2 linked regions of the Ovis aries genome follow. The protein of the gene in region 1 interacts with the protein of each later gene in a biochemical or structural test. Links are inferred from orthologs where the notes say so. Each region holds a gene or a part of one and is shown in the gene's direction. Other genes may lie near its edges.

The links.
Region 2: the proteins of WAC (region 1) and VCPIP1 form a complex in vitro, tested with the Homo sapiens proteins (2 studies listed by BioGRID). The link is inferred for Ovis aries from reciprocal best matches to the Homo sapiens genes WAC and VCPIP1.

Annotation. Positions count from the first base shown.
Region 1 is NC_056066.1:35,538,628-35,553,589, reverse strand, and holds the start of WAC (WW domain-containing adapter protein with coiled-coil), read left to right. Parts: upstream 1-6,747; 5' UTR 6,748-7,167; coding exon 7,168-7,208; intron 7,209-7,293; exon of another isoform or gene 7,294-7,415; intron 7,416-7,581; coding exon 7,582-7,619; intron 7,620-9,127; coding exon 9,128-9,340; intron 9,341-14,962.
Region 2 is NC_056062.1:43,848,825-43,863,692, reverse strand, and holds the start of VCPIP1 (deubiquitinating protein VCPIP1), read left to right. Parts: upstream 1-5,997; 5' UTR 5,998-6,240; coding exon 6,241-8,953; intron 8,954-14,868. UniProt on the Homo sapiens protein: Deubiquitinating enzyme involved in DNA repair and reassembly of the Golgi apparatus and the endoplasmic reticulum following mitosis. Necessary for VCP-mediated reassembly of Golgi stacks after mitosis.

The DNA of each region.
Region 1 (14,962 bases):
GAAAAGTTGCTTACCTTTCTCCTAAGGTTTGATATTGTTGGGCAAAGTCAGCAGAGGAAAGTTTACACTGAGGAATGACCTGGATAAACCAGGGATGGATCGACCGGAGCAGCGAGGCCTGCGTACCATCACCGCAGCACTTCTACTTCCTCCCCAAGAGGTGCTGTCTCCCTTACTGGTTGGATGACTGGCTGTTTGGGGGTAACTTCCTGGTAAAATGGAGTGCTTCCTTTTTGGATCCAGCCTGCTTTACTGTAATCTGGAGTAAAGCCTGGGACTTCCCTGGCGGTCCAGTGGTTAAGACTCTGTGCTTCTACTGCATGGGGTGTGAGTTTGATCCCTGGTTGGGTAGTTAAGGTCCCACATTCCTGGATGAAGCCACAAGAAAACCTCCCAAAACCTAACATGGGAAACTTTAAACAGTGTTTTTGTCAGACTACAATTTTCATCAGTGAGTATATGTGCTTACATACGAGCAGACAGTGCCATGCAAATTACATTGAATACTGCAGTTTTGTGAGCAGGGACTGGTCCATAACTTGGGGTCGCCCATGCAGCATGTCTGAGTATCCACTTCACAGGAGAGGCACAGTATTATGACTCAGGCTGTACTCTAAGTTCTGTGGGTAATTCCTCAGTTTTTTTTTTTAAGATTGTCCTGTAGCATGTATATGCCACGTGGTGCTAAATTATCTATCGAACCTCATTCACTTTTTACAGACAGCCCTATACCCAATGAAGCCAATTTTGGAGACAAGGAAGCATAATCTTGGAGACTGTGGTAATCTGCCCAATTTTACACTGCTAATCAGTGAATCATGTAGCCAGAGCACTAGATCATGTCATTCTGATTTCAAAAACCATGCTCTCAATCACTACACTGTGTCAAGGCACAGGACAGAAAGGCAAGGAGAGAAAAAAAGAGAAATGAAAAGAGGTCAGTAAAAATTCAGGGAATATATTTATTTTTGAGACCCTTTAAAAATTCTAGCAAAACCTTTTAAAGTCTCTTTTACAACTAGAGGCTTGAGGACACGAGTTTTTTATTCTTCCTCCACCAAGAGGATGGTGTTAAAATCAGGGTCACCGATGCCTTTAGATGATAGTTCTCCCCTGTAGTGGCTGACATGTATTAATTTATTGGTTGAAATACAGATCTCCTGCTCATTTACAAATTTGAGATCTCTCATTAGAAAGGCATGCAAGTAATCTGCATAAGGTTAGCTACATATGCAAATTTATATTCATTTTCAAATGTTACCTTTTACAGTATCTTATATTAGGGATAATCCAGCTTTTCCCCATTTAATTTGTGACAGCAGGACTGAATTAATAATTAATGATCCTGTTTGTTTTAGAGAGCAAGCAGAAATGAAACCATATACCTTTTTTCTCTTGAGACTTACAGTATTTTGCTACTTTCTTTGCACATTTTTGTAGTTAAATCTTTCATTCAACAAATATTTATCTCATTGTCACATAGAGCCTTCACTCTAGTGAGAGCCAACCATTAAATGAAATACACAAGACATTATAAGGCAAATGGTATAAATGGAAATTGAGCAGAGTAAGGGAGAGTAAAAGAGAGTAAGTGGGGTGCTGTTTACATAGTTCCCAGAGCACTGACCTTTTTGAAAGAGATCTGAGGAGGGACATAGCGTAAGCAAAGTTGGTGCCAAGGGGAAGGCAGTAGAGTAGAGGTCTTGAGACCCAGACATGCTTGGTGTAGCAGAGGAAAGTGGAGGGTTGAGAGGTGGGAGAAGACTGAGCAAGCAAAAAAGTCCTGAATGCGAAACTGGGGATAACGTGGGTGGGAGTGGTTTACACAGGGCCTTGTACACCACGGTAAGATTCAAAGTCCACGGCTTTCATTCTGAGATGGGAAGCCATTAGTGGATTTTAAGATAGGCAAGGAGCCAGCAAGGAGACTAAGGAGTCATTTAGAAAACAGGAGAGAAACATAAGAGAGTGGAATTCCAGCAGGCAAGAAAAGGAGCTTCAAGAGGAAGAGAGTAAGTAATCAGCTATGAGTTATCAAATGCAGCTCACAGGTGAAGTAAGATGAAGACTGCGAAATGAAAAGTGGGTTTGAGAACATGGAGGCTCCTGAGGATCCAGAGCATAAGTTTAAGTGGAGTTTGGGGATCAAGTCTGACTTTCGGGTTCAAGAATGAGTAGCAGACATGCAAGTTTTTCTGTATAGGAGTGGATCAGAGCAATGGGGTAGTATTCGGAGGGAGACACGATCAAGCTTTTTTCCCTGGAGGGCGGTTATTAAAATGTTCATAAGTAGACAAAAATGATCAAGTTGAGTGAGGAAACTCTTACAAGAGGACAATTCCAAGAGTAAAATGGAACTTGATATAAAAGTAGCCATTTTGGACTTGGATAGGAATTTGGACTGTCCATCCAGTTATGGAGGCTAGTAGTGTATTCAGATGGAGGAACATTGCTAGATGCAAGGGTGGGAGTGGGCCGGAGCTGCTACACATTTCTGATTCCTTCTATTTTCTTACAGAAACAAGAAGCAACACAGCAAAGACTCAGGATGTAATGTCAGGTTTGGAAGATGTTAAACAGCTGGGTAGGGTACACAGCTAAGAGAAATTAGCGAGAGGTGAAATTGAGCAGGGCTCAGTGAGGCTCCCTGGCATAGAGGCCTTTCTGTTCCCTATTTCTTGTAGGAGAGACTCCAGCCTCCACGACCTTCCCTGAGCTCCAAAGGGCAGATCAAGGGAGGAGCATACAAGAAACAATCTGAGGCAAGATTAAAGGGACCATCAAGATTAGGAGACCGTCCACCTGAGATGAAGGGCTTCCCAAGTGGTAAAGAACCCACCTGCCAATACAAGGAGATATGAGAGATGTGGGTTCTATCCCTGGGTTGGGAAGATTATCCAGTATTCTTGCTTGGCAAGTCCCATGGACAGAGGAGCCTGGTAGGCTCACATCCTCAACTTGTTACGCTCACATCCTAATCTTATTAGAGACCCCACCTTTAAACCACTGTTATAAAACCCCAACATCAAGTCCTCTGGGGTTGGGACACACAGTTTTTCTAGGCAGAAACCTGGTGTGTTTCCCTTTGCTTGGTGAATAAAGATATTTTCTTCTTCACCCTAAACTGTCTCCAGGATTTGATATGGCACCTGTGCAGAGACTAAGCTTTCAGTAACATAGGGGGTGAGGAATACTGGCAGCTCATTTTCCTCAAGTATACAGTGAATTGAGTAGGGTACACGGGTCAGGTAGGTAAAGTAGAGGAAGAGAGGAGTCATAACAACAGATAATGGAATCAGATTCTCTTACAGAAGTGAAATTTTTTAAAAAATGGGTTTAACGTTTGGATATGTACTTCGGTAAATAGTCGATTCTCATCATCTGAGGCAGCTGTGTCTACAGTCACTGGGAACGCTGAACTGCTCCTGGGGAAATAAACACATGGATGGGGTCCTGAGATACTCTTGACCACATTTTCGTGAACTGATTCAACTGATTTCTGTTTAGACATGTGGTGGTGGCTCCTCTATCCACGGAAATTTCCAGGCAAGAATATTGGAGTGGATGGCCATTTCCTCCTCCAGGGGACCTTCAAGACCCAGGGATTGAACCTGCATCTCCTGCCCTGCCGGTGGATTCTTTATTGCTGAGCCACCAGGGAAGCCTCTGTTTAGACATCTTATCTAATATATTGTTGATTCATCAGAACTGACCTCATCATGGGCAAGAGCACTAATGACATACCTAAATCAACCCGATGTACTACACATTTTTTCCACAAAGAACATCACAGCCGTCTTGTGCATAGGGGTACTAGATAATAGTTCAGCACGGTGTTTGGGGTGGGAGTGGAGGGGCACTTAAAACAGGAAAGTCACCAGCTAAAAGCAACAAAAAATGCTAAAAACATGACTATGTGTGTATCGTGAAAACCACATTTGTTTACACATTAGTATGTGTGTTTACACATTAGTATGATAAATGAAATAGGACTGAGTGTTGCCTTTACCCTCATCAGTGCCTATCAGGCAAGTCACATTCTCTACCATGAATGTCCAGAAATACTATGGATATTGATCTGGGTATTACAAATAAATTTTAGTGAGAAAGCGAACTCACCAATGCAGAATAACCGGTATGGACTGTACACTGCTAAAGCTGTTTCTCTCTGTAGCTCAGCCCAGTTTGCTGTTTTGATCAAAGGGCGTGTAATAGGTTCAGCAGACATCCAATCACTGAACAAGAAATTAGTAATAAATTTTGCTGCCAGCTTTCAAGCTGTTTGTGCATGAGACTTCTGTACTATTTTCTGTGCTGTTCCAACGTGATGTCTTGTTACAAAAGTGTTAAAAATTGCACTTAAAACACTCTCGTTTTTCTTTTTCTTCCATTTCAGTCACTGGCAGTTTTCCTCTTAGTTACTGACAGCATTAGAGGGCACTAAGTAGGCCTCTGCTGGTCCTCCCAAACAGCAAAAATCTGACCTTTTGACAAATAAGGCTACCTGATTAAAATAAATTTTTTCCCATCAGTTGTGATTTCTGGTCCTTTCCTCCCACATCATCCCATCTCTTGATTAGGTTAGCAATAATGTAACCGGTTAGATACCACTTAAATCAATTTTTTGATACTGATTTTTGAAGGGATCTTGTTTCTTCTGATTTGTTTCCTACCTTGCCTTTTTCTTCCATGTAAATGGCTGTATATTTAGTTTACGTTTATTACTATCCTTTGTAGTTAATGCTGCCTTACAAGAAGTTTAGAGCAGAAGAAATAAAACCACCTGAATACATCATCCTCAGGTAAAGGTTGGGCTTCTCATAGTGGTGATAGTGGTAAAGAACCTGCCTGCCAAGGCAGGAAACAGCTTCCATCCCTGGGTCAGAAAGATCCCCTGGAGAAGGGCATGGCAAGCCACTCCAGTATTCTTTCCTGGAGAATCCCATGGACAGAAGAACCTAGCGGGCTACAGTCCATGGGGTGGCAAAGAGTCTGACACAACTAAGTGACCAATACACACACCGCCACAGCTGCCACCCCCCTCCCCCTTTAACTGGGAGGTAAGCTTGGATTTTTTCACTCTTCCAATATTCCTATTCGCCACGGTGTAGTGGCAGAGTCTGACACCACTGAGCGAACAACACACACACACAGATACACTCCTTAACTGGGGGGGTGTACTTGGATTTTCCTCCTCCAAATATGCCCATGTTGCCACTGAGTCTGTAGCAGTCTATAAAATTCAATTTGCAGCAAATTTAGCGCCCCGCCCGCCCTGCCCCCGAGGCCTTTATTTGGGCTTCCCTGGTGGCTCAGTTGGTAAAGAATCCACCTGCGAAGCAGGAGACCTGAGCTCCATCCCTCGGTTAGGAAGATCCCCTGGAAAAGGAAATGACAACCTACTCCAGTATTCGTGTGCCTGGAAAACCCCATGGACAGAGGCGCCTGCTGGGCTACAGTCCATGAGGTCACAAAGAGCCGGACACGACTTAAGGACTAAATCATCACCAACACACACCAACATACACACACACGTAAAGCTTAATTGGGGAGTATACTTGGATATTTTCCCCTCTAAATATGCCACTGTGCCTGTAGCAGTCTATAAAATTCAATTTGCAGCAACTCGTTAGCACTTCCCAGGTCTTATTGGAGCTTCTCTGGTGACTCAATTGGTAAAGAATCCGCCTGCAATTCCAAGTTCAATCCCTGGGTTGGGAAGATCCCCAAGAGAAGGAAATGGCAATTCACTTCTGTATTCTTGCCTGGAAAATCCCATGGACAGAGGGGAGCCTGGTGGGCTACAGTCCAAGGGGTCGCAAAGAGTCGGCTAGGACTCTGCGACTACCACCACCACCACCAGGCCTTAGTTCACCTGCGACAAACTCCAGATGACTGGATCTGAGCGCGGACGAGCTAAAAGAGAAAAAAACGAGAAATAAAGGAGACGGTGGGGAGGGCGCGGCTGGGGTGGAAAGTATGAGTGTCTCCCTACATCAGCAGGCTCATCGGGTGTTTCAAAGCAGCGGCGCTGGCCCTTCCTCCGCGGGTCCTCACCTTGGTCTTCGAAGGCGCACGGGCTTCGGGCACAAAGCACGGTGACCCTGAACACCACCTACCCTTTTCCCGAGCTTCCGGGGATGATTTACTTCTGTGAGGCCGAAGGCCTAGTTCTGGGTCTGCCGCCGGTCTGAGGCGGGAGCGAGGCTCCGGTTCCGAGGAGAGGGCCTCGCGGGAGCTCGGGCCGCCGCGCACGCAACGAGCACCTGGGCTCACCGTCCGCCCGCCGCCCAACCACGGGCTTCCCGGCCGGAGCCCGCAGGGGCGGGGGCGGGGGCGGCGGCCGGCGCGCTCCTCCGCGCGCCCCCCGCCCCCGCGCCGCCGGGCGCACGCGCAGCAGCGCAGCCGCCCTTATTTAGTCCGCGATGGCTCCTCGCACGCCCCACCGGCCTCCTCCCATAGACGCTCCCCGCCCCGCGCGCCCCGGGGCCCCCGGGACCAGCCTCGGGCGGCTCCCCGAGCCCGACTACCCCTAAGCCGGAACGGCGGCGGCCGAAAGGGCGCGTGCGGACCGGTAGCGGCGACCGGAAAGAGCGGACGGGTCGCGAGGAGACGAGCCAGGCCGCGGAGGAAGAGGAGGGCCGCGACGAGCCGAGGTTTGCCGAAGGCGGCGTTCCGGCGCGCGCGAGGGTGGGAGAGGAGGGGCGCGGCGGAAACTGCCGAGGGTTTCCGAAGGCCGCAGCGGCCGAGTTGCCCGGATGTAGTTGGTGGAGCGGCAGCGGCGGCACCAGCGGCGGCGGCGGCGGCAGGAGGAGGAGGCGGCGAAGGACCCAGCGGCGGCGGCGGGGGGAGGAGGGGAGGAGGCGGCGGAGCGGGAGGAGGAGAAGGCGGAGGAGGCAGTCGCGCTGTCCGCGGGGCGAGCAGGACGCGTCGTGTTGCCCCCTCCCCCCCACCCCCCGGTTCGCCGCTGCCCGGCCTGAGCTGAGCGTGAGCGTGGTGCGGACTGAGGAGATGGCCCGGGAGCGCCGGCGCCAGTGACGGGGAGGTGCTGAGCGTCGCCGAGGGCGCGCCGGGCCTGCGCCGCCCGCCGCCTGCGCGCCCGCCCGCCGCCGCCGTCTCCCGCGGCCGCTCCCCCCTCCCCGACACACGCTCACAGGCCGGGCATTGATGGTAATGTATGCGAGGAAACAGCAGAGGCTCAGTGATGGGTAAATCGTCTTTTCGTTTCGAGGCGGCGGAGCGGGCGGCGGGGGGGCGCTCCTCCTCATCTGGGCCGGCCGCGCCGCCATTTTTGTTGTTAACCCTGATCCGGAGCGGCCGGGAGGGGGAGCGGCCGCGCGGGCGGCGGCGGGAGGGGGGGGAGTCGGGGGTGGACGGCCGCGGGCGGCGGCGGCCCCTCGCCGGCGGGAGCCCGTGTGAGTGCGTGTGAGCGGGTGTGAGAGCGAGAGCGTGTGCGCGCGGCGGGAGGGCGGGCTGCCTGGGGCCGGAGCGCCGCTGGGATTCGGAGCGGGGGCCTTTCTGCGGGCCCCGCGCTGGGGGCCCGTTCTCCGGCCTCAGGTGGCCTTTTCTTCTGTTTTCCAGCTGTCACGACCGGCGGGGGGACGCGCAGCCTTACCAGGTACCACGGGGCGGGCGCGGGCTGCGGGGCTGGCGGGGCCGGCGGGGGAGGGAGGAGCCGCTACTCGAGCGCAGGCTTCACAGGTCGCTGCAGGCCCTTCGGGGCCACAGACGCGAAACCCGCTTGGTGGGGCCGGAAACCCTGCGCTCGCTTCCCGGGGCGCTCGCCGGCGAGGGGTGGGGGCTTATTTTGACAGGTGACGGGAGGAAGTTCAAGTTCTTTTTGCGGGGAGGGTGGGGGGAAGGGAATAAAAACTGATTCTTGTCCAGGAAGGACCTGACTCGGTTATTCGGGTGTGCGGGACTCGGTAGGACAACGTGTTCAGTAACTCTGGAATCACCTTCATTTGTTGTTTTGGGGAAACTAAAAGTTAACGCAGAGGTATCAGAATTAGACGGAAGGGCAGGGAAGAAGCCACTGATGGGTTTGCAACTCTTTAAGTGTGTTGTAAACCATTACCCCTTCCCAGTTTGTTTTCGGTGGAAATAATTGTCTTCAGTGAAAGATGGCGCTTTTCTTTTTGTAGAAATTGAGATCTTTGAGTACTTGGGTAATTCACTGTCCTGAAAGGAGTTTTAGGTACATAGTTTTCTTTTTGTGACAGCTTCGTGTAACATTGTAAAAGTTTTTTTGAAAGAGTTGGCCCCTGTTTTCCGGGGGAGGAAAATTCATTAATTTGTAACTGTGGGGTGACTCTAGAAGTAAATACTTACTGCATCTGACCACTTAAAGGATAGGAGAGCGGGTTTCCAAGCTAACGGTTGTGTTTCTGGATAGCATGAGTTAAAGTTCCAGTTAAAAATCTAGGTTCCTTGACGGGTAAAACATTGTGCATTACATTTGGATAGGTCAACGATTAAACTGTTGAATCACACTCTAAAACATGGTTAATTATGCATTAAAAAAGACAGCTATATCATGGTTGTCTTAAATATGTTAAATGTTTTTTGAGGGAGTTCCATTAAGTTCCATTAGGATAGGTCAGAAATAAGAGCCTACATTTCTATACCTTAAAATTGTTTCCCATGCCTGCAAGAGTAGTTAAACTAGATCTGAAATGCCTTACTTACTTGAATCCAAGAATTGGAGAAATTCTGATGAGAATTCTCTGAATTCTGATGCTTTTTTTGGGTCAGATCGAAGAAACATGTTTATGCTTATTTGTATTTGTGTCTAGCATAGTTGCAGAGCAAAAACATTAGAGTAGTACTCAGTGAATACTTAAACTTTTTAACTGGCAGAAAAGTTTGAGGAGTTAATTTGTCAAAGTGTTGATTTCTTGTGTTTACAAGATGATTAATAGAAGGTTTTTTAAAAAAAACACATTTTGATATGTATGATGAGCCTTACAATAACTTGTGTTTAGGTCTTGTGTGAGTAACTTAAAGGCAGAATTCAAAAAGAAAATTTCAATTTTATAAATTTATAAAACTGAATATAGGTAATATAGCAAATTTTATGATAAAACTGACTTATGAAATTAAAGTTTGATTTCTTTTTTATTTTGGGGGGGTGATGTTTTACAGGCACTTAAGTATTCATCGAAGAGTCACCCCAGTAGTGGTGATCACAGACATGAAAAAATGCGAGACGCCGCAGATCCTTCACCACCAAACAAAATGTTGCGGAGATCTGATAGTCCTGAAAACAAATACAGTGACAGCACAGGTCACAGTAAGGCCAAAAATGTGCATATTCACAGAGTTAGAGAGAGGGATGGTGGTGAGTAGCTTTTTCTATTGAAACTTACATTTATTAATAATAATTCTATGTAAGACAAAAAGTTTTAGTCATATTTCCAGTTTGCAAATGTTACTAAATGTTTATGTCATCAGAATATTTTGATTCCTAAACAAATTATGTAGAAATAAGATGCTGACCCCAGAATCTACAGCTGGACCCCAGTGGGTGATAATTAGAGGATGCATTTATGAATGTAGCCTACCAGTGTTTTATTAATGGTGAGTGACATGCAGGACATTTCTCCAAGAAAGGAATTTTCAGCTTTTCAACTTTCCAAGATTGCAGTTTGGCTTGGTTAATTTTGAGATCCTTGTTTCTACTTCATTTTATTTTTTAAGGAGTTCAGGTGTGTGTTCTTGTGGTAAAGTATGAATTTTAAAATTTAGAAGGTTTTTTGAGACAGTTCATGGGTTAAGAAAGTCATTCATGATACAGGAAATTTTTGTTAGGTTTTTCTAAGAAAAATACTATTTCATATTTTCCAGGGTCTTATTAATGTAACTTCTGTATGTACTCAGATACTCACCTTTTAAAAAGTGCATTTCAGTGGTTTTACCCTTCAGCTATTACTTTGCTTCAAGTTTTTTGTGGTAGGAGGCTGAAAATAAATTGTTTTCAGATTTAATGTATCCAAAATTTACCAAAATAATCAGATTTCCTGTCTACATTTGGCATTCATTGAGGGACAAGCCAATTTCACTAAGTCAATTAATCATCTCTATTATTTATAAGATCTTAAATTGCATAATAGATAATGTGTTTGAAATAAGGAAACTCAGAGTCCCTCATGGCTTTCTGTCTCTTGATTTTCAACTATCTTCAAATCTTGCTTCTTCTGGTTCTCTTTTTGCCTCCTAGGATAGAAATCAGCTATATTCAGTGTGATGAGATATTGGAAAACATTGGCCTCCTCTGTATATAATTGGTGGGTTGAGGAAGTTAATAGTGGTGAGAAGATTGCATGGAAAAAAAAAAGATTGGATGGAGATGGAATATTTGGATGGTTATTGAATGGGAGGGGAGTTTAGTTCTCTGTTAAATATAGCATAGCTGTATGCTACTTACACATATAAACATATTTGTTTGGAAATAACAGCAGGTGGATTTGGTTAATAAGTTAGAATTTTGGGGGCAAATTAATATTAATCTTTGGGGTAAGTTTTGTGTAGTGTTATGTTTAGCCTGAGATTCTATTACCAGTCACTACTATAGTGGATTTCATTTCAAATGTTGGATTTTAGAAGGCAGTACTGTGACTAAATAGGATGTGGCACCTCATCTCCTTAAAGAGAATAAGTATCCCAGGTTCTCTTTTAGTGAATATGATTTGGTTAATCTGTCATCTACCCCCAGATCCAGAAAAGGGTCATTTTAGGTACTCTAGGAAACTTCTGTAAATGTTTTCATGCTTTTACAGTGAACTGTGTCTGATTAAGTTCTTTTACAGGTGAAATACTCGCAAGAACATTCTGTTGCTTAATGCTTAAATATTGAGCAAACATTGGGCGTCTACTGTGTGTCAGCAGTTGTGTGGTGTGCCTGGAAGTAATGCTGAGATGTAGTCCTGTCCTTGAAGCTGTTACTAAAAGCTCTGACTTTGGAGAGCTACTTGTTTTTAGCTGCTTGCTTTTTTTTTCTGTACTCTTTTTTTTTTTTTTTTCCCCCTTCATTTTGATTTTCATTTTCCTTCCTCTTGTTGGCTTTTAGTTTCTTTTTTATTTGCATCTGTTTGCTGATGTTTCTTTAGTTCCATTTGTAAGAAACTTATCTTTCTGATCTAGTCATTTGCTAAATTAATCCCCTTTTCTGATTTGCTTTTTAGCTATTTGCTTGTCTTCCTCTGGAGCCTTTTAACTAATACTAACTTCATCCCTGGTCTAACTTCATTCCTGGTCTGTATTATCTCTCATATACTTGGCTGCCATATTACTTTACACCATGGAGGAATAATAACAAATACTGTAAAATGCGGTCTGTATTCTTGAGTGCAGAGAGCATCTTTGATGTTAATTCTGTGTTTTAAAGATGTGAAGTGGTGACTCTTCCCTCAGTTAATTCTTAGATATTTAAGTCATTATACTTTGACTCCAGCTGTTTTTTTCTTAACAATGAGAGTTTGAAACTAACATTTTAAAGTGAATATGTGTAATTTCATTATAGATGTTTGTATTCCTTGATATTTTTATCTTTATAAATTCAATTGTATATGTAGATAGATTTTCACATAAAGATAAAAACTATTATTCAAAGTCAAATGCAAGTAAGCTGGATTCTCTGAGTACTCAGCCTGTGTGAGTAACAATATAAGAACAGGTTACTATATTATTGAACTAATATAAAATTGATTTTTATTTTAGGATTTTAAAATCTAATTTTAATAAATGCCTAACTCAAGCGTCTACATACCCCCTACCCTACCCCACACTGCCCCACCGGGCTTTACTGGCATCTGTCCACATCACAGTTGTTTTTTTTGTTCTTCTTGTCACCTTAGATTTCCTTAAAGTGTCAATTTAGAGTAATATATAAAAAGACTTTAAGACATACTAATACTGAAAGAAATCAGAAAGTAGGGATTGAGGATTGTCACTCCCTGCAGAAGATTGAAGTCTGCAGTTTAAAAGGATTTATTCCAACTAAGTTTGTACAGTTAAAGGAATTAGAGATTTTTATCCCATAGGATTTATGAAAGGGAGTTTAGATTATTTATTGTAACTAAGGGAAATGTTGTGACATAACATTACCTAAAAGTTCATTACTTGGTGGAAAATTATTTTTACATATATTGTGATCAACTTGCAAAATATAATCTTTTGTTTAAAAATAACCAAAAGCAGGAATCTAAGGTACAGTCGTTTGATTTTTTTTTTTTTTTATAGCTTAGGTTGAAATTGTACTTAATGGAATTTTTAAGCTTTTTCCATTTCATTAAAGTATGTTTTTGTTGACTAGTTCTAATGATAATTTTACCAAGTAACTTTCAGGATGATGCTGGTACCAGTGAGTTTAGGAATGAAGGGTAGCTTTATAGGAATTATGTAAATCTGTTGCACAAAAGTTCAGCCTCATGGGGGTTGTCCCATTTTTCTTATCTTCCCTCTAAGAATTAACTGTTAGAAACATCTTTTAGGGGGAGATAGCTTAGTTCAGTTGGTTAATCAAAATCGAAAAAAAATTATTCTTTACTGGTTCCCTGAATTGTGGGAATTAAGTGAATTTCTATAGCTTTTAAAGTTAGTATTCAAATATTTTTGAGTACAAAGGGAAAATTGCCTTAGTGCTTACATTTCTAAATTCTTTCTTTAAAGTTTTTCACTGCATAATGAAAGTATCCCCCCCCCCCTCCTTTTTTTGGGTCGTTTACCCATATTTGGAGAAATTGGGAAATTTAATCCAATTTTCAAATGACAGTTACTGTAACATTTGAAGGAATTGTTATTCAGTAGAAAGTATTTGGGGATAACTTGTTTTTATAGTTTTTAAAATAATTTAGTAATATTTTAGTATTCTCACATTAAATAGACTGATAATTGCATAGTATGACTTTTGTGGTTCTTTGAATAACTTTACACTGGGATAAAATGAAATATGCTTTGCATTTGTAATGTTAGAAAGTACTATAAAATTGAACAGTCTCATTTGATCCTTGCATTGACCTTGGAAGGTAGGTAGAACAGATAGTATCCCTGTTTTATAGTTTATGGATGAGGGAATATTTACTTGTGTGAAAGGAACCAATAGTAAGATTGGTCTAGAAACGGGTTTCCCAGATGGCACTAGTGGCAAAGACCCTGCCTGCCAGTGCAGGAGACATGAGAGACATGGGTTTGATCCCTGGGTTGGGAAGATCCCCTTGAGGAGGGCATGGCAAGCCATTCTTGGTATTCTTAAAGAGGTGGTTATTATGATATAATGGATTTCAGTTCACAGTCAAAACTATTTTGGTATGGTTTACTTTAAGATCTTAAATTTTAAGAAAGAAAGTAAGTGAAGTTGCTCAGTTGTGTCCACCTCTTTGCCACCCCATGGACTGTAGCCTGCTAGGCTCCTCCGTCCTTGCGATTTTCCAGGCAAGAAGACTGGAGTGGATTGCCTAAGGCAGTATTAATTGAACTGATTGAGTTATGCAAGATGTATTTAAAGTTCTTGGTGAACATGCTTAGGATTTGGGGTTCATAATTCACAGAAAATATGTATTCTAGATGGTCTTTCTGTTAAGCCTCTTTTTGTCTTATCCTTTTGTGCAGGATGGTTTGGGTTAAGTTGTTAATCATTTTGTTATGGTGCTGAAAAGAGTGGAGTTAGCAGTGAGCTGGGGGTGTCTTCATACCCCACATATGTACCTGTACTCTTCTTCTGGGACTTTATACTAAGTATTGGAGGAGGAGTTTGTCAGTCATTTCAAAACCAGTTTTTTAGGGCTTGAAAATATATCCTATGAAGAGTCTCCTTTTTATGATTTATTTGATGCATGGTAATTTTGAAAGCCATTTTATATCCGGTCTCACAACCCTTTGAATTAGGCTGATCAGGATTATTCCTGTTTTACGATGAACATATAATCCAATTATGTAGCCTACTATTAGCTATTGAAAGTAGAAGGCAAGTGTTTTTGCTGTATATAAAACCTTATCTCTACCTTACAGTTGTACTCCAACTATAACCACTTGGTTACATCTCTAATAAACCCTTCAAAAGTTGAAAATACATAAGTTGGGAATGCATTTAATACACCTAACCTACTTTAAATGTTCTGAGAACACTTACATGAGCCTGCAATTGGACAAAATTACCTAACAGGAAGCCTGCTTTATAATAAAGTATTGAATATCTCATGTAACTCTGCTGTACTGAGAGTGAAAAGCAGAATTGGCTGTAAATGTAGGAGTTGTTTCCCCTTCTAATTACGTGGCTGACTGGGACGTCCGTCTCTCTGCTGCTGCCGCCCCATCCTCGGTATATACTAGCCTGGGAAGAGAGCAGAATTCACAATTAGAAGTGCGCTTTTCACTCTGCATGCCTGTTGCTTCCACATCATCGTAAGGCCAACAGATCCTAAGTTGAACTGTGGTATATACTTAAAATTGCTATTCTCTCCTCTTACCTGGACTCTTCAACAGCCTCTTAAGTGGTGTCCTGCATCCTTTTTGCTTTGTACTGTTATTCACAGCACATAGCTGGAGTGGTCCAGATAAAATGCCAGTCAGCTTACATCACTCAAGTTCAAGACCCTCCCTTGACCCTGTTACTTACCAATGCCTGTAATAGGCTCTTTGTAAAATCTGGTGTCTGGGTGTTTGTGCTGCTCTGTCCACATTGGCCCTCAGGAAGTTTGTTCTGGTCTCAAGAGTTCTGCTCCTTGTTTCTGGGATGCTCATCTTTCTGTATGTCCACCTGATGCTGTCTCATTCCAGTAGGGGTCAGTTTCAGCACCCCCTCCCCTAGAGGCCTACTTATCCTTCTGATGACTCAAACAGCTCCCTGTCATCCTCTGTCCTGTCTGCTGCTTTGTTCTTTCCTTGCACTTAAAGTGATCTGATGTTACTTATTTCTAGTCATTCTGTTACAGCACATGTTACTGAAAGTTACCATGCCGTGCAA
Region 2 (14,868 bases), on another chromosome or scaffold:
AAGTTAAGAACTGTGTGCGTGGTAGTATATATAGTACAATGGTCAGAACAGCCTAAGGGTCAGTATAGGACAACAGCTGAGTGTACTCTGGAGCTAGACTACTTGGGTTTTAACCTTAATTATGCCACTTATTGGGTTTCCCTGGTGGCTCAGACAGTAAAGAATCCACCTGCCAATGTGGGAGACCCAGGTTCGATCCCTAGTTTGGAAAGATCTCCTGAAGAAGGGAATGACTATCCACTCCAGTATTCTTGCCTGGAGAATTCCAAAGACAGAGGAGCCTGGTGGGCTAGTCTGTGGGGTAACAAACAGTCGGACATGACTGAGCGACTAACACTTTTACTTTCATGGCACTTATTAGCAATGAGACATTGAGCAAGTTACTTAACTTCTCTGTGCCTCAGTTTCTTCATCTGTAATATAAAAAAGATAACAGCAGTACCTAGCTCATAAGGACGCTGTAAGGATTAGCTAAATAAATGTGGAGAGCCTGGCGCACAGTAGACACTCAGTGTTAATAGCTATTACGATAAGGCTGAGAACGATACAATCTTGGCTTCTTAAAAAAAGGATATCCTCTCTCCACATCTTTTTTTTTTTTTTTTTAAGAAATAAAGGACTTGAACAGTCCATCAAAAATGTTAACAACTGAGAAGTCTAGTTGATAACAGACTTAATTTTCTTCCTTTAAATATTAATTTTTATTGGAGCAGAATTGCTTTACAATGTTGTGTTAGTTTCTACGGTACAGCAAAATGAATCAGATATACATATTCATCCTCTCCCTTTTGGACTTCCTTCCCATTCAGGTCCCCCACAATGCATTACATAGAGTTCCCTGTAATTTTCTTCTTTTTTACTTATTTACTAGACATTCTATGTCAAGTGATTCTTTTTGGACTGAAAACAATAGAAACCAAGACACAAAATCTTGGCTTTGAAATCTTCCCTCAAAGTGCCCTGCAGTCAGGTAAGCAGTGATTTTCCAAGTGTGATCTTGGAGTACCATCAGCAGTACCAGAGAACTTGCTAGAAATGTAAATTCTCAAGTTCCAGCCCAGATGTATTCATTTTGGAGTAGAGCCCAGCAATTCATATGTTAGCTTTATATTCTATTCTGAAGCTCGCTAAAAGTTTGAGAATGACTGTGCTAAGGCATAACGTGTGGCTCTATGTTTGACCTCTCCCATGTTCACATAGTGATAAGTTCTGCCAATCACTCTTCCTCAAATATTCTGCAGCTCTTGTGTACAATGTCTACCCTTGGACATATCTTCTTTGTGAGCCTCTTGAGAGCTACTGCTTCTACGGATCCTCAGTGACTGCCCAGTGATAGAAAATGCAAATGCTTCCTGGAGCCAGGCAGGTAATTTGTCTCAAGAGGGCCTGGTGCATGACCTTAAAGAGTGAAGTGCTGGCCACTGCCCAAACATGTCCACATTTTTTGCAAAGTTAAACTGCCTCTGGCTGAACAAAAACACATCTAAGCCAAGTTTGGCTCCTGGCCACCGTTTGCACTCTGCGTCTTGGCGAATTCTCTCTCAGATCACTAAGCAGCTATGATGCAGTGGAAAGACTGAGTGCTGAACAAGGAAGAAAACCTTGATTTGAAGCCCAGCTCTGCTAACTGCTAGCTGGGTGGTAATAACGAAAATAATGTTAACTTCTCAGCTTTAAGTCTTCTCATCTGTATAATAAAGACAACCTTACTTACTTCATAGGACTGTTTTAAAGATTAAAATACTTAAAATGCCTGCCCTATAATAAGTCCTCAGTAAATTTTTCATAGCACTTGTGATTTAAAAAAAATATATAATTGATTTGCAATATTGTGCCAATTTGCTGTATAGCAAAGTAAATCAGTTATACTATTTTGATTATATTCTTTATTCTGCTTGTATTTATGAACAATTTAGTTTAGCCTGCTTATTCTCAACGGACAAGCTTGAGCAAACTCTGGGAGATGGTGAAGGGCAGGGAAGCCTGGCGTACTGCAGTTCATGGGGTTACAAAGAGTCAGACATGATTTAGCAGCTGAACAACAATTCATTCTATTGGGGAAGCCCATGGCTCAGCAGTAAAGAATTCACCTGCTACTGCAGGAGATGTGGTTTGATCCTGGGGCCTGGAAGATCCTCTGGAGAAGGAGATGGCAACCCACTCCAGTATTCTTGCCTGGGAAGTCCCATGGACAGAGGAGCCTGGTGGGCTACAGTCCATGGGGTAACAAAGAGTTAGACACGACTTAGCAATTAAACAATAACATTCATTCTACTAGACTTTGAGTTTCTTTGGGATGTTTCTTTGGGACAGGGATTAACTTCTGCAATCTTCTCCGTTTAAGTTCCTATAATACCTACTTCAGTAATTTAAGTCCCTCTCACATCCACCCCAACGAAAGCTTGTCAATGTCCAGGGTAGGTATCTGAAGTGACATAGTCAATTCTCAGTAGAGATGTATCTTTCATAGGCAAAAACATGAGGCCCACTTCTAATCATCCCCAAAGTTATGCTTCCCTTCTTTTTTCCACATAAAAGAGAACAAACAATGATGATTGTTCCATTGTCAAGTGGAGGCCTCTTGCTCCTTACATTTACCAGGTTTGTTAAAAGCAATACAGAAAGTTTAGACGAGCCATACTAGAAATTATGAAAAGAAAAAAAAAAGAGGGTTTCAGTTTTAATTTTGACAATTCAGATATAAGTGATGCTGGGATGATGTTGGTAGAAGAGGTGGGTATTAGAACAGCTAACATTAGGTGCCCAGCTCATTTTTCCCATCTGGAATACTGAGGCAAGAATAAAGAACTATTATGCATCCTATAAAGCAGGTTATTACATAATTTAGATCATGGCATTAGGGGACGTGGAAGGACACACGTGTATTGCCTGCATATAAGCAGGTTAAGGGCTTTCTGAACTCCTATGATTTTATGTTTTGTCTTAACAATCTTACTTTATAGGTATCCATGCCTAAGTGCCTGTAAAGAATTCATATATTGGATTTGGCCTGGTTAATATAATTTAATACAAAACATATAATAATTTTAATATATTATTTGTTAGCTTTCTTACCTTCTGAACTTTGCATCTATAGATTCATTAAATAAATGACTTTCAGGTTAAATGATCTCATTTTAGAATTGTTTGAAAATTTACCTCCTCTCCCTCCCATTAACTATGCTTTAATCCAGGGTATTTCTATTTTTTTCTTTCAAAATTATAACCCTTAAATGTAGGACAACTACGGTAACAAATGGGTTTAGATATCAAATTTAGTTTTGGAAGTTTGTTTCTAACTAATCTAGGTTCCATATGGATAAAGAAACTCTGGACCAGTCAAATGGATTATGATTGACAAGCCAGTCTTCAGTAGGAAAGAAGTAGTTATTTTGTGAAGGCACAAATTAGAATGAAATATTCAGATGCAATTTTTAAAACTTTCATTTCACTGTTCATATCATCAACAAGGAAAATGTGACTTGGTGATGCTGACATGAAAGTACACGACAATGTTAGAACTGCACACTGGCATTATCTTTCTTGTTCACCTAAGCTTTCATCACGTTGTTGCTGTTCAGTTGCTAAGTCATGTCTGACTCCTTGTGACCCCATGAACTGCAGCAGGCCAGGCTTCCCTGGCCTCCAGTATCTCCTGAAGTTTGCTCAAACTCACATCCATTGAGTCAGTGATGATATCCAACCATCTCATCCTCTGTTGTCCCCTTTTCCTCTTGCCCTCAATCTTTCCTGGCATCAGGGTATTTTCTAATGAGCTGGCTCTTTGCATCAGGTGGCCCAAGTATTGGAGCTTCACCATTGATCATAAGAAAAATATAATTTCACCACAGGTGTAACTTCTCTGTCAAGGTATAAAATAATTTGCATTTAAAAGGCATATCTAGTTTCTCACCTTAGAACTAAAAATCAGTTCCAAGACCTTTTGTGTAGTGTACCACCAAATACTGTTAAAATAGTTTCCTGCATTAATCAATTATGAAAAACTTTATTGAAGATTATTCCCTTCAAGTTAAGTAACATTATTTCTCTTATACACAGATACCATTATTTTTGCACAGGCCAGGTAGAATTGAGCAAGAAAATAATTAACATTTAAAGGATTCCTAAAATGCATTTCTTTAGAAGAAAATTGTAGATAATTAGTGAAAGTCAGTACTAATACCTTTTAGGAATGTCTAGTTTATAGACAATTCATTTCAGAGCATCAAATTTTATTTATTCAGAAAAACCTAATGTGGTAAATATAGCCTTGGCAGCTACAGAAAATGGGAATGGGGTCATGGACTGTATTGATGTATCTATTTTGTGCCAAATGTTTCAGAAGTTTTGAGGTGGTGCACTTATCTAAGGTTTCAGAAAGCAAGAGTTTCCAGAACGATAAGAGAAAGGGGCTGACTGTACAATATTCAAAAAAATACTAGCTTTCAATTAATATATGAATGTGTTTTGCATGAGGAGACAGTTTCCTAGCACACAGTAAACATCCTTACAGCCCCTTGAGTCACTAAGAGCAGAGCCTGAGGCCTAACAAAAGGTCTGGGGTTAAAAGTTTCTTTTTTCTCTTGTAAGAAGTGGAGGGGGCTTCAGGATTGGGAACTCGTGTACACCCGTGGCGGATTCATGTCGATGTATGGCAAAACCAATACAGTATTGTAAAGTAAAATAAAGTTAAAAAAAAAAAAAAAGCACTCTCTGGATCTGAGAGATCCTGGTGATTTGACTTTGGACAAGTAATTTAATTCCTTCTAGTCTGTTTCTGTAAATGGAGTCAACAATACCTGGTAGAGGAGTTACAGGAGTGTGGGTGGGATGATCCGTGTGATCATGTTATGTAAACTATAAACCATAAGCGACTAAAAGTTAGTTACTATTTTGTACAAGACTGGCCTAACCTTTCCTGCCTATGTTCCTTGTCTGTAAAATGGGTACAGACCAAGGCCTGAGAGCTCCTGAACTTGAGCAAGTCATTTCCTTTTCGGAAGTGTTTCCTAGCAAGGTTGCCCAAGTATTGGAGCAACATTATGAAGATCAAATGTTATCGTGTATGTAAATGCTATGACAAACATATACCAAGAACGTAATAAATGATAGCCGTTATTACTCTCTGAGGGTAAGGAGCAAACAAAACTACTTAAAAGACTTTGGATATGTACTTAAATTCTGTACACATCCAAGGTATTTTTATTTGCACTGTAAACTGCAAAGACGTACATGGAACGAGGAAACAAATGGCGCCTGTGCTTCCCAATGGCGGGGGAGGGAAGGCAGTAAAGGGGACTCAATAGCCTCAGCGGCTTGTAATAGAGGCGGGAATAAGAAGAAAGGAGTGTGACAGAAAAAAAATTAAGTAACACTCCGAGAATCAATTCACCATTCTCCGCCTTTTTCTCTCATGACCTCCAGCCTTGATTAGACCATTTCACTCAGCTTCCCAGCCCGCCATGTCGCTGGACATATATTTACTGTACCTTCTTCACTGAGAGCCTTTCATTCCCCTCCCCTTCTAGCAGTCGTGAACTTCAGACCCTCTGCTTCCGACACCCATTCCCTTTAACTCTGTTTTTAACCAAGCTTCCCTGCATCCTTCCCTCCGCCTAAGGGGGAAGTGAGCTTGGTCGCACCGCAGGGCATCCTAGGAAATGTGGTCTCTCATACTCATTTCGCTTGGGCCTTAGAATGGGGACGACGACAAAAGAGATTGAGCTAGAACTACAACTACCGGAAGACAACGTGAGTGAGTCTCTTCCTGTCTGCCCCCATTCCTATTACTTTCCTCTTCCTCCTCTCTCCGGGCACCGAACCGCTTTGCCTCACGGTACTTGTAGTTCTTTGTGGACCCAAGCTCCTAGTACTTGACGGCCAGGCGAAAGGCTGAAAGACTCTAATTCCCAGAGGGCAGAGTGAAAGCTGCGCCTGCGCAGTCTCAGGGAGGGCGTGTATGTCTGTGTGTCTGAGGGAGAGAGAGCGAGAGTGAGTGAGTGTGAGTGCGGGGTAGGGTGGTGGCCGTTACGTTCGGGGCAACGGCTACGGCAGTGGAGAAGTAAGAAGAGAAACAACGTCCGGCGCTTCCGCCTTCGCTTAGGAGGAGGAGGAGCTGGTAGGGAAAGGAAAGTGATTCGCCCTGGGCCTGGACGAGACCGAGTCGGGCCGGCGGGGGTCTGGGCTATGAGCCTTTGAGGGTCGCTTGGGACGCGGAGCGAGACTCGAGAGCCGAGAGCTATGTCTCAGCCGCCGCCGCCGCCTCCGCTGCCGCCGCCGCCGCCTCCCCCAGAGGCTCCGCAGACTCCGCCGTCTCTGGCAGCGGCGGCGGCGGCGACTCCGGGGGGGCTCTCAAAGCGGAGAGACCGGAGAATCCTTTCCGGGAGCTGCCCGGATCCGAAGTGCCAGGCGCGTCTGTTCTTCCCGGCCTCCGGTTCCGTCAGCATCGAGTGTACCGAGTGCGGACAGCGGCACGAGCAGCAACAGCTGCTGGGGGTGGAGGAGGTGACCGACCCGGACGTAGTGCTTCACAACCTGCTGCGGAACGCGCTGCTCGGGGTGACGGGGGCACCCAAGAAGAACACGGAACTGGTAAAGGTGATGGGCCTTTCAAACTACCACTGCAAACTGCTGTCGCCCATATTAGCTCGCTACGGAATGGACAAACAGACTGGCCGGGCTAAGTTGCTCCGGGACATGAACCAGGGCGAGCTGTTCGATTGCGCTTTGCTGGGTGACCGCGCCTTCCTCATCGAACCGGAGCATGTCAACACGGTGGGCTACGGCAAGGACCGCTCCGGAAGCCTCCTGTATTTGCATGACACCCTCGAGGACATCAAGCGGGCCAATAAAAGTCAGGAATGCCTCATTCCCGTGCATGTGGACGGGGACGGGCACTGCCTGGTGCATGCTGTGTCCCGGGCCCTAGTGGGCCGGGAGCTCTTCTGGCATGCCTTGAGAGAGAATCTTAAACAGCACTTCCAGCAGCACTTGGCCCGGTATCAAGCGCTGTTCCATGACTTCATTGATGCTGCTGAGTGGGAGGACATTATCAACGAGTGTGACCCTCTGTTTGTACCGCCTGAGGGGGTTCCCTTGGGTCTGCGGAACATCCACATATTTGGCCTCGCCAATGTGCTTCATCGCCCTATTATTTTGTTAGATTCGCTCAGTGGCATGAGAAGCTCTGGTGATTATTCAGCCACCTTTCTGCCAGGGCTCATCCCTGCAGAGAAGTGCACCGGCAGAGATGGTCATTTGAACAAACCAATCTGTATCGCTTGGAGTAGCTCTGGTAGAAACCATTATATCCCGTTGGTAGGCATAAAAGGGGCTGCTTTGCCTAAACTGCCTATGAATTTGCTTCCTAAAGCATGGGGTGTGCCTCAGGACCTCATTAAGAAGTACATCAAACTTGAGGAGGATGGTGGTTGCGTTATTGGAGGAGACAGAAGTTTGCAGGATAAATACTTACTTCGGCTTGTTGCTGCTATGGAAGAAGTCTTTATGGACAAGCACGGTATCCATCCTAGTTTGGTGGCTGATGTCCATCAGTATTTCTACAGGAGGACCGGGGTGATAGGAGTTCAGCCTGAAGAAGTCACAGCAGCTGCTAAAAAAGCAGTAATGGATAATCGCCTTCACAAATGTTTGCTCTGTGGTGCCCTTTCTGAACTTCATGTTCCTCCAGAGTGGTTGGCTCCGGGAGGGAAACTGTATAACTTGGCAAAAAGTACTCATGGACAGCTGAGGCCTGACAAAAATTATAGCTTTCCCTTGAACAATTTGGTTTGCTCATATGATTCAGTGAGAGATGTCCTGGTACCAGACTACGGCTTGAGTAACCTTACAGCTTGTAATTGGTGCCATGGCACATCTGTGCGAAGAGTTAGAGGAGATGGGTCTATTGTTTATTTGGATGGGGACAGAACTAATTCCAGGTCCACTGGTGGCAAATGTGGTTGTGGATTCAAACATTTTTGGGATGGGAAAGAGTATGACAATCTACCAGAAGCTTTTCCTATTACTTTGGAATGGGGTGGAAGAGTGGTCCGAGAAACAGTGTATTGGTTCCAGTATGAAAGTGATGCATCTTTGAATAGCAATGTGTATGACGTTGCGATGAAACTTGTTACCAAGCACTTTCCAGGTGAATTCGGGAGTGAAATCTTAGTTCAGAAAGTTGTCCACACTATATTGCATCAGACTGCCAAAAAGAATCCTGATGATTATACTCCTGTAAATATAGATGGTGCTCATGCCCAAAGATTTGGAGATGTACAAGGACAAGAGTCGGAGTCCCCGCTCCCAACTAAAATTATTCTTACTGGACAGAAAGCAAAAACTTTGCACAAGGAGGAGTTAAACATGAGTAAAACTGAAAGAACTATTCAACAGAATATTGCGGAACAGGCTTCTGTAATGCAGAAACGGAAAACAGAGAAGTTAAAACAAGAACAGAAGGGGCAGCCCAGGACTGTTTCTCCCAGTACTGTTCGTGATGGCCCATCCTCTGCACCTGCCACCCCTACCAAGGCTCCCTATTCGCCAACCACTTCTAAGGAGAAAAAGATCCGAATCACAACTAATGACGGACGGCAGTCCATGGTTACACTTAAGTCTTCAACAACCTTTTTTGAACTTCAGGAAAGCATAGCCAGAGAATTCAACATTCCGCCATATTTACAGTGTATTCGATACGGCTTTCCTCCTAAAGAGTTAATGCCACCCCAGGCAGGAATGGAAAAGGAGCCAGTTCCTTTACAGCATGGTGACAGAATCACAATCGAGATTCTGAAAAGTAAAGCCGAAGGGGGTCAGTCTGCTGCTGCCCACTCGGCCCACACTGTGAAACCAGAAGATAGTGCTGTCGCCGGCAGGCTGCCATCTAAGGAGCTTCAGGAGCAAGCTGACAAAGAAATGTACTCCTTGTGTCTTTTAGCAACGTTAATGGGTAAGATCAGCTTAACTCAGATGGTGTTTCATAACTGTGAATGTAATATACTGAGTTTTTCTCATGTCTTTGTGGAAAAAAATCTGGTCAGTGTAAAAACATTATATATTTTAGAAGAAAATTCTTTTGTTTCGTTTTTTGACAGTGGATAGATGTTAGTGTGATTCTCTGTTGAGTAAATACTGGGAAAACATAACTAAGAAAGTGAAAGTAGTCCCTTACTGTCACCAGATTATTTAAGTATAATGTATTGCTTGTTATTTTTAAAAAATCGTAGTGTAATAACTCCATTTACAGCCTTTTCCATTTTTTACCCCTTTGGCTCTTTCGAGTGTGCACACCTTGTCCCTTGTCATTTATTTTTAAATTTCATTTTCCTGTATGTCATGTGATTTCAGGACTTCCTGTTTGATGAATTGCAGTTTCTGGGTTACATGCTCATTGCACTCCCACCTAATAATTTCTTATCCATTTCCTGTTCTCCCTTTCCCAATCCATCAGCTTTTTCTTATTTGTACATCAGGATTTGTGTTTTAAGTAATTTGCTCGGTGACTCTTTGCCATCAGTTATAATGAACTATTATATTATAACTGATGAAAAACATAATCAACAGAGGTAGATGTTAATGGGATTCCTTAAGAAGCATTTCTTTTTAATAATTCAACATAAAGAAAAATATATTGTCAACCAAATAGGTGATTTAAAGCTTTAAATGATTTGGGAAATGATCCAATGGTGTACTTTTTACATTATTTTTATTGGCTAATCTGTTTTTAAATTACTGTTAGTATGTTTTATTGAGGCTTAAAGTAGAAGTAAAACTGAAATATATTACATATTAGAGGGGCCTTATTTTTGCTGAGATGATATCTTTCAAGTAAAAAAGTGATCTGGGTTTTTTTTTGTCTTTTCTGAGTACTAAATATCAGTGAATTGGGCCTTGACCTTCCAAAATGAAGATAATTTATTTCTGGCTTAAGTTTGGGGGCCTAGTTAATAGGGAATCTATTAATAGGGGATCTATCTATGCCAGTTTATAGCTTAATATTGCTGACTTTATTTTATCAGACGTAATTATTGAATTGGGGGATATGTCAAGAAATGTACTTACTAGGGGCACTTTACGTTTTTCTGTCTTTTAAGAGTTTTTAGTTTCTTGGAGACTGTGTGGAGTAAAGGAAAAGACTGATTTCTGGAGTCACAAAGTCCTACAATTTGAATTCTGGCTTCAGTACTTATTAACTTAGTGGTTTTAGGCAAGCTGCTTAACTGCTCAGGCCTTCAGTTGCTTCCTATAGGCAGGATTACCTCTTGTAGTTGATACTTAGGTAACAGTTATGTACTCCCAGAACTCTGTAAATTAAATAATACCAGCACAGAATGGGTAAACTTAGATGTATGCTGAAGGCACGTTTTTAAAAAACCAGTAATCTCCAGGTCATAGATTGGTCAGGAAGAGAGGTCTTTCTCAATAGAAGAGGATGTGGCTCATATCCAGCCTTGGATACTCAGCACCTTGTATAGTGCCCGGCAGGTAGTAGGCACTTTGGAAGTTTTTTTGATTGAATTAAATAGATGACATTAACATAGCTAAAGAAAGGCTATGTCAGCAGAAATGGAATGGATGGTCAGCATTGAACATTGAAAAACAGTTGAAAAGCAGAATTTGGCACTGTTTATACAGTGCTGTACAAAGGAGAAAGATGTGTCAACTGGGGCTCATGAAAATTCTGGTAACTGAAAGGTAATCTCTTTTGAGGGACAGGACTGTTTGATCAGTCCTCACCGTGGCCTGGCTGAAAAATCTGTATCCCTTTACCGATTCCATAGTCATCAACTTCTAGTCTAATCACTCATTTAACTTCTGATTGTAAGTATTGATGTGGAGGTGACAGTGAGGTGAGGCTTATATTCATTTGGAGGTTGTGTTCTCCATGGAGATTAAAAATGCAGTGGCACCGGTGAGATTATGATCAGTAGTCTAAAATTCTGGCCAGCATAATAATATATTACTATTTCATAATGAAAATCAGTAAAATATAATTCTTGTTTACAGTTAGTCACTTTTTGAGTTTGACTTGAGGTTTCTGGACCTTAGTGTCTGAGTACTGGACTGTGGACTGCGAGGAATTTACTAAGATGATGTCTTCTTGTTAATGATCTCTTCTCTTTCCACCTCTGGCATTTATGTTGCTGCCCTTAAAAACCCACACATTTCATTAACTCTCCCATTTCTACTCCTGACACAGAATTTAAGCGTAATGCTTTGCTAATTTCATGGTGGTATTACTTGACTTTCTGCTTTAAAATACAAAAACAGTGCCTGGCCCGTATATTAGTCCCTCTGTAAGGATTAGTTTTCTACCTCTAATTCTCTCATAACTCTATTTGAATTATGTAGAAGATACTCTCTTTATTTGGCCATGCTGTGGGGCTTGTGGAATCTTAGTTCCCCAACCAGGGATTGAATTTATGCCCTCGGCAGTGGAAGCATGGAGTCCTAACCACATTACTGCCAGGGAATTCCTGGGAAGATTTTCTTAAAAGTGTTATGTTTGTAAAAAATCTCAGTATGGGGATAGCTAAGTAAGTACACACAACCTTATGTGAATGAGTGCTGGCAACTCTTGATGTTTAGATTGGAGAGGGCTGGAAAATGGGAAATGACAGGGTTTACTAAGAAAATTGTAAATTTCAAAGTGCAGAAATTGTGAATTACTGTGTGTTAGTTTAGCAAATAGCTCATCAAGCTTTCTGCTGTTCAAATAGCTGGCTCCTTCTCATTTAGCTTAGGGTTTGATACCACTTTGTTACAAGAGGTTTCCTCCTGACCACCTTACCCAGGGGTAAGGGTTTCAGAGACCTTTGCTAAGCCACTCCAAGTAGGTTCCCTCTGTTATGGCACCCTGTTCATCTCCCTCATAGCACCTGTTACAAGTTTTCCTGATTTTATATGTTGGTTTACTTACTACCTTATCACCTAGTACTGGCCCTCACACTTACTAGGTGCTAAGTACATGCTTGTTGAATGAATGAATGCCGATTCTTTCAGCAAAATGTTTGCTATGAGCTAGAGACTGTGCTGTAGATACAAAGATAAATCACACATGATCCTTGCCTTCCGTAAATTTACCTGTAGGGTCTCAACTGAGGACTTCCCATACTTTTATAGCTTTGATTTATAATTTTTATATATAGAGAAAAAGGAAGCTGGAGACCTGTTGATAAAAGCTATAAAGATATAAGATATCTATGTATATATGTGTGTATAATGATTGTGTATCCTCATTAAATAGGCTGACTTCTTGATAGCCAGAGACATGGGGTTTCTCTATTGTTTTTTTAAGTAGGATATTTATTAAATAGAATTTATATCTATTATTTGTATAAAAACAGTAAGTGAGTGCATCAGTCTTTTGCTCAGTTCATGGAACTTGTCACTTTGAATCTAATGATTAACGTTAGTTAAAAAAGGAATAACAGTGTTCTTACCTGTAATATTTCACAGATTTTAATCTTCTTTATCCAGACCACTTGGATGTTATTAAACAGTTTTTTACACTGTTCTCTTCATTATTTATACAATATGTGAGTGACTCTAACGCTGGCTTTTCAAAATATGTAATTAAATTTTCTTACAGGCCAGCTTTTTGTGGTAGATATGATAGACAGTACATTATCCACTGTAAATACTAGGCTAATTTCTTTTTTTTAGTATTATATTCCACAAAACTTTTCATTAATTTTCTTTTTCAAGAGATAAAGACAGATTTGTGAAAAACAGTTGGTCAGTTTTATGGGAGTTTTATACATACGTTGTCAGAGTTGCTTTGATGGAATTAAGCTACTTGTTATATGTACTCCACTTTACTGCGAAGATTAGCATCCTTTCAGGAGTTGAGAAACTACTTTCTATCTTCCTGAAAGAATGGCATGAGTTTTTAATATACAAGTTTAAATTACACAGCTTCTTTTTTTTTAACACAGTTTTTCATAATTTCATAGTACTTCTTGATGTGGTAGCTGCCTTGGGTATTTTCAGAATCGCATCTGGTATTCAGGCACTTATTTTTAAGATGACTTGGAGTCTGAATATCATTATTGCTTCTTGAATTTTTTCTTCAAATATTGGGTGAAGGACACTTTCAAATCTAGATATTACTTAATGCATCTATTATTCTTAACATACTATCAGATAACTTTTCTAATTGATTTATAAACAGCATATTTCTAATGGGGGAACAGTTATAAAATTGAATAAAAGGAATGCATATAGATGTATCTTAAGGTAAATATGTATATTATAAATGGTGATTTTTATAATTAATTTGAAGATTAAGTTAAACATGATTCTATTTTTTTTTCTTCATATTTTTTCAATTATAAGATAATATTACTTTTAAAAATTCAAAGAACTCATTTATGTAGGGAGTAGAATACAATAGTTCTCTTACTCCCCAGAGACTCAGACTCTGTATGTTTGTGCACACGTTTCCACACAGTTAGGTTTGTGTGCATGTATGTGTGTGATAAATATATCTTTTAATGCTGATGATTACACTGAGACATGCATAAGGGACTGAATACAAGGAGAGAAACAAGCATGCCTTTCTTAGAAATGGTTTTGACAGTTGGTAAGGTAGATGGTGGGCGGTAAAGCATCTGCTTATGCGAGAGACCCAGGTTCGATCCCTGGGTCGGGAAGATCCTCTAGAGAAGGAAATGGTAACCCCCTCCAGTATTCTTGCCTGGAAAATCCCATGGATGGCGGAGCCTGGTTGGCTATAGTCCATGGGGCTGCAAAGAGTGGGACAGGACTGAGCAACTTCACTTCCACTTTTCTTTCAGTAAGTAAAGTCACTCAGTCGTGTCCAACTCTTTGTGACCCCATGGACTACAGCCCCCAGGCTCCTCAATCCATGGGATTCTCCAGGCAAGAATACTGGAGTGGGTTGCCATTTCCTTCTCCAGGGGATCTTCCTGACCCAGGGATTGAACCCGGGTCTCCCGCATTGGAGGCAGACACTTTAACCTCTGAGCCACCAAGGTAGAGACAATTTTAGATGGCAGAATCTGCAGGAAGGGTAGAGAGATGGCAACAACTTTTTCAGCTAATGAATACCTTTAGAATTTTTTCTAGTAGAAACAGCCCCAAGTTCCTAGTTTAAATGTACATTTTGGTCAGTTTGTTTTATGGTAATAGGTATTCGAGTTCAGAATTAATTTAGATATTTGGGGAGGGGGGACTGTAAATAGTATTTCAAAATTGATTTTGTTTTTCTTATTTTAATAACTATTTCACATATATGTTAGATTTTAAAATCTTACTTGCTTTATAAATTGCCAAGTAGAAACTTCAAATTGCCTTTTTAAATATCTAAAGTTAGAAAATTGGAATGATAACCTTTTAAACTCACTTTTAGCTTCATTATTTTATTGTTAGTGATTAACTGATTTTTTTTCTAAAATCTAGAAAAAAATCATTTAAAAAATTATTTATTTTAACATTCTTTAAAATTTTTATTTCTTTTTAAAGAGGAAGAAAATTAGACAACCAAAGGGAAAATCATCCATACTGTCACTGCCATATATAATAACTACTGTCAGGTGGGAGAATTAAGATTATTAGGAAGGATTTGAGGAAGACAGGGTATGAACAGAGGTTTTCTATGGTTGTGTTATAGTCTTTTTTTGTACAGTTATGCACAGTATGTTCAACGTAAGTATTTTACTATTGTACTATGAAGAAGCAGCTGAATTAAAATAAAATAAGTGGAGGCTATCAGAAGAATATGAATTAACATTTGGTAGATGCTTTATGAGACTAGTCCTCTTCTCTAAGAATTTGCTTTCCAGTGAAATGGTAGAAAGTAATTCTACTCATGCCCCCTCTCCCGCTTTTTTTTTTTTTTTT